Linked DNA regions of Macaca mulatta. The protein of the gene in region 2 purifies or fractionates together with the protein of the main gene of each other region. This does not show direct contact. Links are inferred from orthologs where the notes say so. Each region holds a gene or a part of one and is shown on either strand. Other genes may lie near its edges.

Region 1 (4,231 bases), on a different chromosome or scaffold from region 2:
CTGGTAAATAACATACATGTGGCTCAACAGTTTTGAAACTAAGCAACTGACATCTGAAAAGATTAATCAGAGCCATAAGTAACGCAAAAAAAAAAAAAAAAAAGTAATTCTTTCCTTTAGGAAATTAGGCAAAGTTAGTTAATAATGGTTTAAACTTGACTCCTTCAGCTTTGTTAAAAATACCAGAGGGGGGGAAGAAAGGGAGAGAGAGGGATGGAAGGGAAAAAGAAAAGGAGGAGGGAGAGGAAGAGTGGGGCATTCCCCACTTCATCCAAAGTACAAACGAATCTTGGGCACGTCACGTCCCAATCCAGACACCAGAAGGCCGGCTTCAACCAGGTCATCTTTTTTTTTTTTTTCCAGACAGGGTCTTGTTCTGTCACCCAAGCTGGAGTGCAGTGGCCCGATCACCACTCACTGTAACCTCCGCCTCCCGCGTTCAAGTGATTCTCCTGCCTCACTCTCTCGAGTAGCTGGGATTACAGGCGCCCGTCACCACACCCAGCTAATTTGGCCGGGCGCGGTGGCTCACGCCTGTAATCCCAGCACTTTGGGAGGCCGAGGCGGGCGGATCACAAGGTCAGGAGATCGAGACCACGGTGAAACCCCGTCTCTACTAAAAATACAAAAAAAAAAATTAGCCGGGCGCGGTTGTGGGCGCCTGTAGTCCCAGCTACTCGGGAGGCTGAGGCAGGAGAATGGCGTGAACCCGGGAGGCGGAGCTTGCAGTGAGCCGAGATCGCGCCACTGCACTCCAGCCTGGGCGACAGAGCGAGACTCCGTCTCAAAAAAAAAAAAAAAAAAAAAAAAAAAAAAAAAAAAAAAAAATTTTTGTATTTCTAGTAGAGACAAGGTTTCACCATGTTGGCCAGGCTGGTCTCGAACTCCTGACCTCGTGATCTGCCTGCCTCAGCCTCCCCAAGTGCTGGGATTACAGGTGTGAGGCCACCGCGCCACGCCAGGCCATCTTTTCTTCAAGACACACAATTCTACTAGCAAGACTCTAACTCCGATCCTAACAGAAACGTTTTATCTCTGATTTTAGTTCATCTAGACATAGTGCTTCCCGCTATCTTTACAGATAAAAAAAATTTTGAGTCCGGGCGCGGTGGTTTACGCCTGTAATCCCAATACTTTGGGAGGCCGAGGCGGGTGGATCACCTGAGGTCAGGAGTTCGAGACCAGCCTGGCCAACATGGTGAAACCCCGTCTCTAGTAAAAATACAAAAATTAGCCGGGCATGGTGGCAGGAGCCTGTAATCCCAGCTACTCTGGAGGCTGAGGCAGGAGAATCGCTTCAACCCCGGAGGCGGAGGTTGCAGTGAGCTGAGATCGCGCCACTGCACTCCAGCCTGGGGAACAAGAGCGAGACTTCGTCTCAAAAAAAAAATTTTTTTTTTGAGTTGCTGCTTAATATACCCTACAATCTCAGCAGGCCTGTTGGTATTCCCATAAAAAAAAATGCCACTCAAGGTAGAAACTGCCCTCACAACTCCCAATCTCGGACTGTAATCTACAAAAGCGCGTGAAACTGTAAAAATAAAGTTCACTCACATAGAAGAATCATGTTACGTTCTGATTTCCAAATCCTTAGCAGGCCTAACTGCTGGACGCCAAGACCGGGCTCCCGAAGGGGACTCGTTCCTGGCTAAGGCTTCCCACAACACACAGCGCGCTTCCAAGTCCACGTCTCGGCCGCAACGCAAACCCGGGCGGCGGCTCCGCACCCACAGGCTCGCTCCATCCCCAGCACCCGCCGCTCTCCACCTCCAGTTCCCCGCGGGCCCCAAGGCAGCCGCAAAGCTGCCGTCCAGCGTCCCCCAACCCGCCCCCTGCCCCAGCTCCCGTCCAAGGTCGCTCCCGGCGGCGGGTGATCGCTGCAGACCAACGCCCAGACCCCGACGGCATCCCCCACCCTTTACTCATTTTTTTTGAAATATTTCTTTCTCTGCACCCCCATCCAGCCCCGAACCCTCTGGAACCAGGAGAGTTCCCCGCAGGGACCTCTCGCACGAACGACCGGGACCGCCCACTGAAGTCCCAGGCTCCCCAGGCAGCCGGGCAGGAGAACACCGCCCCCCGCCCGGAAGCACTCGCCCCTCCCGGGCCAAGAAGGATAAGGGAGGGGGAAGGCGGAGAGAGAGGAGGGGGAGGGGAGAGAGGAGGGGGAGGGAAAAGAAAGGAGGGGGAGGGTAAGGAAGGACGGAGGAAGGGGACAGAGGCGAAGGATGGGAGAAGGATGAGGAGGTGGGGGAAGGGAGGGAGTTGAAAAGGGGACGGGGGGGACGAAAAGGAGGGGGAAGGGGTAAAGAGGAGAGAGAGCAGAAAGAGAGGGGAAGAGGAGGAAGGACAGGGAAAGGCAAGGGGGAAAGGGAAGGGGGAAGGAAAAGGGCCCCTCCCCCGGCCGGCCTCAGGAGAGGCAGGAGGCCGCGAGCCCGCCCCGGGGTGGGCTGCCGGGCGCACCTTGCGCTTGCGGGCCTCAGCCGTGCCGCTCCACACGAAGCACTGGTAGATGGCCCGCAGGTTCTGCTTCCAGTTGTCCACTTTGAAGCTGCCCAAGTGCGAGCAGCCCGGCGGCGCTACAGCCAGCTCGGCGTCCATGGCCTCGCCCTCGGGCTCTGGCCGGGACACCATGGGGGGCAAGGCCCGGCCGCGCGCGGGGGGCGGCGGCGAGGGGGGCGAGGACGACGCCAGCGCGGCGTAGGGGCTGCTCGGCGGCGGGCCTGGCCGGCCAAGGCACGGGCGCCGAGAACAAAGCGCGGAGGCCAGACAAAGATGGGGCTGCGCGATCGCTGAGGGGAGGCTGCGGGGCAGGCACCGCCCCCGAGCTGCGGCTGCTGCTGGCCGCCCGCGCTGCGCTCTCCCGGTTCGCGGAGGGCGTCGCGGGGCGGGGCGCCGCGGCCGCGGACGGAGATTACGTCACCCCCCGGCCGGCACCGCACTGCGCAGTCTCTGGCCCGCGCCAGGCCCTTCCCCCCTCTCGCGCGCCCGTAGGCTGTGGGTAGACCGGAGCCCAAGGAAGCGTGGTGGGGCGAGGGGAAGCTAATGAGAGCCCGCCCCTTCCCTTCCTCTATTGGTCGCCGGCCACCCCCCCCCCCCCCAGTATCTTCGGCCATTTTCATAGGCTCTCAGTACAGTCCGTCTGGCGACTAGACGTTCCCTGTCTCTTCCATCGGACTAGGGAGGCGGGGGCGTGCTGCGGTTGGGCGGCGCGAGGCGTCCGTCCTAGCACTGAACCGGTTTGCGCCGGCCTGAGCTCTGCCGCAAAGAGGCGGGGCGACAAGCTGGAGCCCTGCAGGTCGGGCCTCCATCCAGGGCCTGCACTTTCCCACCCAACAGCATCCCCTGTTCGGGCGCTGTCTGCAGGGCCCCCGGTTGCCGTAACCTGGGTCGGGCCCTGCAGTGCCGCGGCTCGGGGCTGGAACTGCCAACTGCCTGCTCCGCGCCGCTCCCTGCCTCAAGCTGCGGCACCTCCTGTCGGGAGCCCGCGGATAGCGAGGGCCAACCCGGCGCCATCCAGTTGAAAGAAGATGCACGCCACACGCCTGACACTTCTCATTTGCTGGTGGCTACGTTTTTCTAATGAAAAGAAAGTTAAATATAGTAAAATATCTTAACCCAATAGGGTCAAAATATTTCAACATGTACGCAGTATTGCAGAAATCGTTAGTGGAATATTTTACAGTTTTTGCAATCTTCGAAATCTGGTATTTACACAACAGCACATCCAATTCCTACTAGCTGCTACCGCCATGGGCTGCACAGGTCTAATCGGTATACAAATAACTGACCCAAGGCAAACTGAAAAGACCTTTAAAGACGAATGCAAACAATGTTCTGGGAGAGCCAGGGCGCCAAGAATCTGGGGGAACTTGGATGAGGTGTGAGGCGTGGTGCTGCTCCCTGGTACTCCTCCCACTGCTAACTGCTTTGCTCATTCATCCACAGATTGCAAGAAACAGCAATTGCCGTCCAGAGCCATCACAAGTTAAAAAATAAAGATTGTGATCTCACAACACTTAAAGCTACAGGGTTTAATGGGCTGACGACTGGAATAAAGTTTTTGTGGCCAAGATAAATTGCCTAGCACAGGTTTTTGCCTCATGGCCTTTGTGCTTGTAGTACCCTCCGCCTAAAACGTTTTCCCCACCCCCTAATCCCCCCCCGCCCCGCATCCTTATATTCCATGGCTGATCGCTCACCTCCTTCCAGCTTTATCACACACCTCCTT
Region 2 (3,163 bases):
TATACAGTTATCCTGTCCCAGGGGCCAGTGGCTTCTCTCTACATGACAGACTCAAATTGTGAGGCTCAGTTTTTTCTTGTATTCACAGGTGGCATTGGAAGGCCTTCGGCCTACCATCCCACCAGGTATTTCCCCTCATGTGTGTAAGCTCATGAAGATCTGCATGAACGAAGACCCTGCAAAGCGACCCAAATTTGACATGATTGTGCCTATCCTGGAGAAGATGCAGGACAAGTAGGACCGGAAGGCCCTTGCCTGAACTCCAGAGGTGTCAGGACATGGTTGGGGGAATGTACCTCCCCAAAGCAGCAGACCTCTGGTTGCCTCCCCTGCCTCCAGTCATGGTACTACCCCAGCCATGGGGTCCATCCCCTTCCCCCATCCCTACCACTGTGGCCCCAAAAGGGGCGGGCTCAGAGCTTTGTCACTTGCCACATGGTGTCTCCCAACATGGGAGGGATCAGCCCCGCCTGTCACAATAAAGTTTATTATGAAAACAGGCTGGTGTGGGGACATGGGGACAGACAAGTACATTTAGGTTGGGTGGCTCAGGTGAAGTAGTGCGGCTTCTTCACATTGATGCCATACTCGCTGAGGGCAGGGGTCAAGTCCTCCATGGTTAAAGTATACTTGCGGTCCTGAGGGAAGAGGGAAGAGCACCAACTGAGCACAGGAATCCCACACTTCAATCCCAGATGGGTGACCCTGAGTAAGTTTTACACCTCCCCTAGGATTCAGTTTCCCCAAAGGGGTGGCAGGATAAGCTTCCACTGTTGTGGAAGGTAATTAGTGATTCAATGAGCCTCCCCTCACACCTTGCTCTTGCTCCGGGAGCTGCCGGAGGCTGTGCCCTTCATTTTGCAGTGCTGTAGGGCATCATTGGCAATATCTGAGATGAATTTCTGGGCAGCTAGGGAGATGAGCCGAATTCTAGAGAGAAAAAACTTAGATGAGAAGGAGATGGACAACACACTGCACAAGCACCCAAAACTAACCTGCCCTGGGTTTACTCACATGCGTGGGTCTGAGGCCTCAAAGCCAGCACGGTTCAGGTAGTAACCAGTCACTGCATCTGGGATCTAAGAAATCAATTAAGAGAACTGTCAGCAGAGTGGGATGAGGGTGAGGGAAATGTCGGATAGACCTGGTTATCAGGAAGCTCACGATTTGGGTGAGCAGAGGGCAAAAACAAGAGCGACTACGGAAGCAAACATCAGAGGGTGCTGAAAAGCACGGAGATGTGGCTGAAAGTTGTGACAGCAGGCTAGGTGGCCTTGTTCGGGCGGAAGCCCACCGTAGGCGTGTAATCCTCCAGCTGCATCAAGAAGTCCACCAACGGCGTGCTGGACACCACCGGCTTCACGTCTCCGTTGGCCGCGCTCGGCAGTACGTAAATCCCGTTAGACATGGCCCCTTCTGGGGGCGCCGCGCCACCCGCCGACACCGGAGCTGGAGGAGAACCAGCAAAATGAGACACAGAGGTGGGAGGCGCAGGGCCCCAGCGAGGTCTGTCTATACCCGCTGCCCTCACCCGCCGCTGGGCCCAGTCCCAGACGCTTCCCTCGCCCTCACCCGTCAGGCCCTCACCCGCCCCACGCCGCTCAGCTGGCTCCCCGGCCCGCGCCGCCAAGGGTCCCGTGCCCCCAGCAGCTGCTCCAGCCCCAGGCCCCCCTGCTGTCCCCGCGGGGCTGGCCTTGTTCTCCGCAGCGGTGCTGGCGGGCAGCGCTGCGGGAGCCGAGACCGGGGGTGCCGGGCCCGGGGCCGAGGCGGCGGAAGCCGGCGCCGCCTCGGGGTCCGCGCCGGAGCCGCTGCAGCTCATCGGGCCGGTGGGAGAGGCGGCGAACAGAGCCGCTTCCGCTTCCGCTCGCGCCGCGCACACCCCGGGGTGACGTCACGCGCCCTCGACTCGCCCCGCCTGTCACTGTTAGTGCTCTCCAGCCCGCTCCCCGCCTCCTCTGGTAGTGGGTCTGCGGGTTAGAGGAAATAGGCTGAAGGGCGGAGACCAAGCCTTGGCGAACTGCGCTGCCGTCGCCATTCCGCCCTAGCCTCTGCGGTGCTCGGTGGCGATTCCGTCGAGACTAGAAGCAGCGTGCGTCCGGGACTCTTCCGCCGCTCTGGGACACCTCATTCTGTCTGACGCTCAAGACCTTGCTTCGAGGTTTATGGGCCCTACATCCCTCGACTACGGATTGCCTGCCTGTCTGCATCCTTTCAAGTTCCCTTATTCAGCCTTGTAAGGATTCATAGTGGATTTGGAAAGCCCCCCGCCCTTCTCCACCAACTGCCCCGAGAGGTGGGGGCAGCAGTGGGGCGGCCCACAGTGCTGCTGTAGAAGGAGGAGGGGTTTCAGCCTAAGTCGACAACGTATGCAAAAATCACAACGAGTGAAAGGCGTGAGATTTTCAATGTAGCAGATATTTAATTCTTATTTGCCAACTCCTGAGCTAGGACCTGGGAATACAAAGTTAAATAGAACACGATTCTAGTCCTTTAGGCACCAACGGTCTTGGAAAGGAAGCCAGACAAGTAAAGTGGCTATTTCAATACTATGTGGTCGTTACAATACTAGAGGTAGACACAGGGGTCGCAGTGCAAGGGAGGAAGGGCATTAACATCTGCCACCTACTTCCAGGTGCCAAGTACTCTTATCAACATTATTCCACTTTATTCCCTGGTGATTAGGAAAGGCAGGTAATATTCCCACTTAACAGACGAGGAAACAGCCTCAGGGAGATAAACTTGCTTGACCCAGTCTCTCTCCCAGTCCATATCAGAACCAAGATTCAAACAGGTTTTGTTTAGAAAATCTAGGATTTTTCAGCCATAGCAAAATGAAGTAGCCTCAGGGAATCAAAACATTCACGAGAGAAGGTGACTTCTGAGCTGAATCTTGTAAGAATTCTGGAAATTAACCAGGCAGTTTGTATCAGGGGTGGTATTAAGGGGACAGAACAGCTTGAGCAAGAGTGAGAGTTCCTTGGGGTTTGGGGAGGGAGGAGGAAAAATGATTTGTTACTTAGGAACAAATAGCAACGAAGGTTTGTGAGCTATGATTGGGGGAAGAAAATAAAAAGCCTGAACTCTATCCAGTAATCCTTGAAGGGTTTTCATCCAAGTGGCCTGATGGGATTTGCATTTTACTCTGGAAGATGATTTGGGGATT

What was found. The genes of interacting proteins can lie anywhere in the genome.
Region 1: the proteins of TAF10 (region 2) and USP22 purify together in Homo sapiens (affinity purification with mass spectrometry; 4 studies listed by BioGRID, with this or other methods). This does not show direct contact. The link is inferred for Macaca mulatta from reciprocal best matches to the Homo sapiens genes TAF10 and USP22.

What each region holds. Positions count from the first base shown.
Region 1 is NC_133421.1:21,923,719-21,927,949, forward strand, and holds the start of USP22 (ubiquitin carboxyl-terminal hydrolase 22), read right to left. Parts: upstream 2,808-4,231; 5' UTR 2,635-2,807; coding exon 2,464-2,634; exon of another isoform or gene 1,555-2,463; intron 1-1,554. UniProt on the Homo sapiens protein: Deubiquitinase that plays a role in several cellular processes including transcriptional regulation, cell cycle progression or innate immunity.
Region 2 is NC_133419.1:59,170,822-59,173,984, reverse strand, and holds TAF10 (transcription initiation factor TFIID subunit 10), read right to left. Parts: upstream 1,832-3,163; 5' UTR 1,820-1,831; coding exon 1,588-1,819; coding exon of another isoform or gene 1,573-1,587; intron 1,450-1,572; coding exon 1,295-1,449; intron 1,080-1,294; coding exon 1,015-1,079; intron 931-1,014; coding exon 816-930; intron 639-815; coding exon 549-638; 3' UTR 501-548; downstream 1-500. Other genes in the region: scaffold protein ILK, read left to right, coding at 89-238. UniProt on the Homo sapiens protein: The TFIID basal transcription factor complex plays a major role in the initiation of RNA polymerase II (Pol II)-dependent transcription.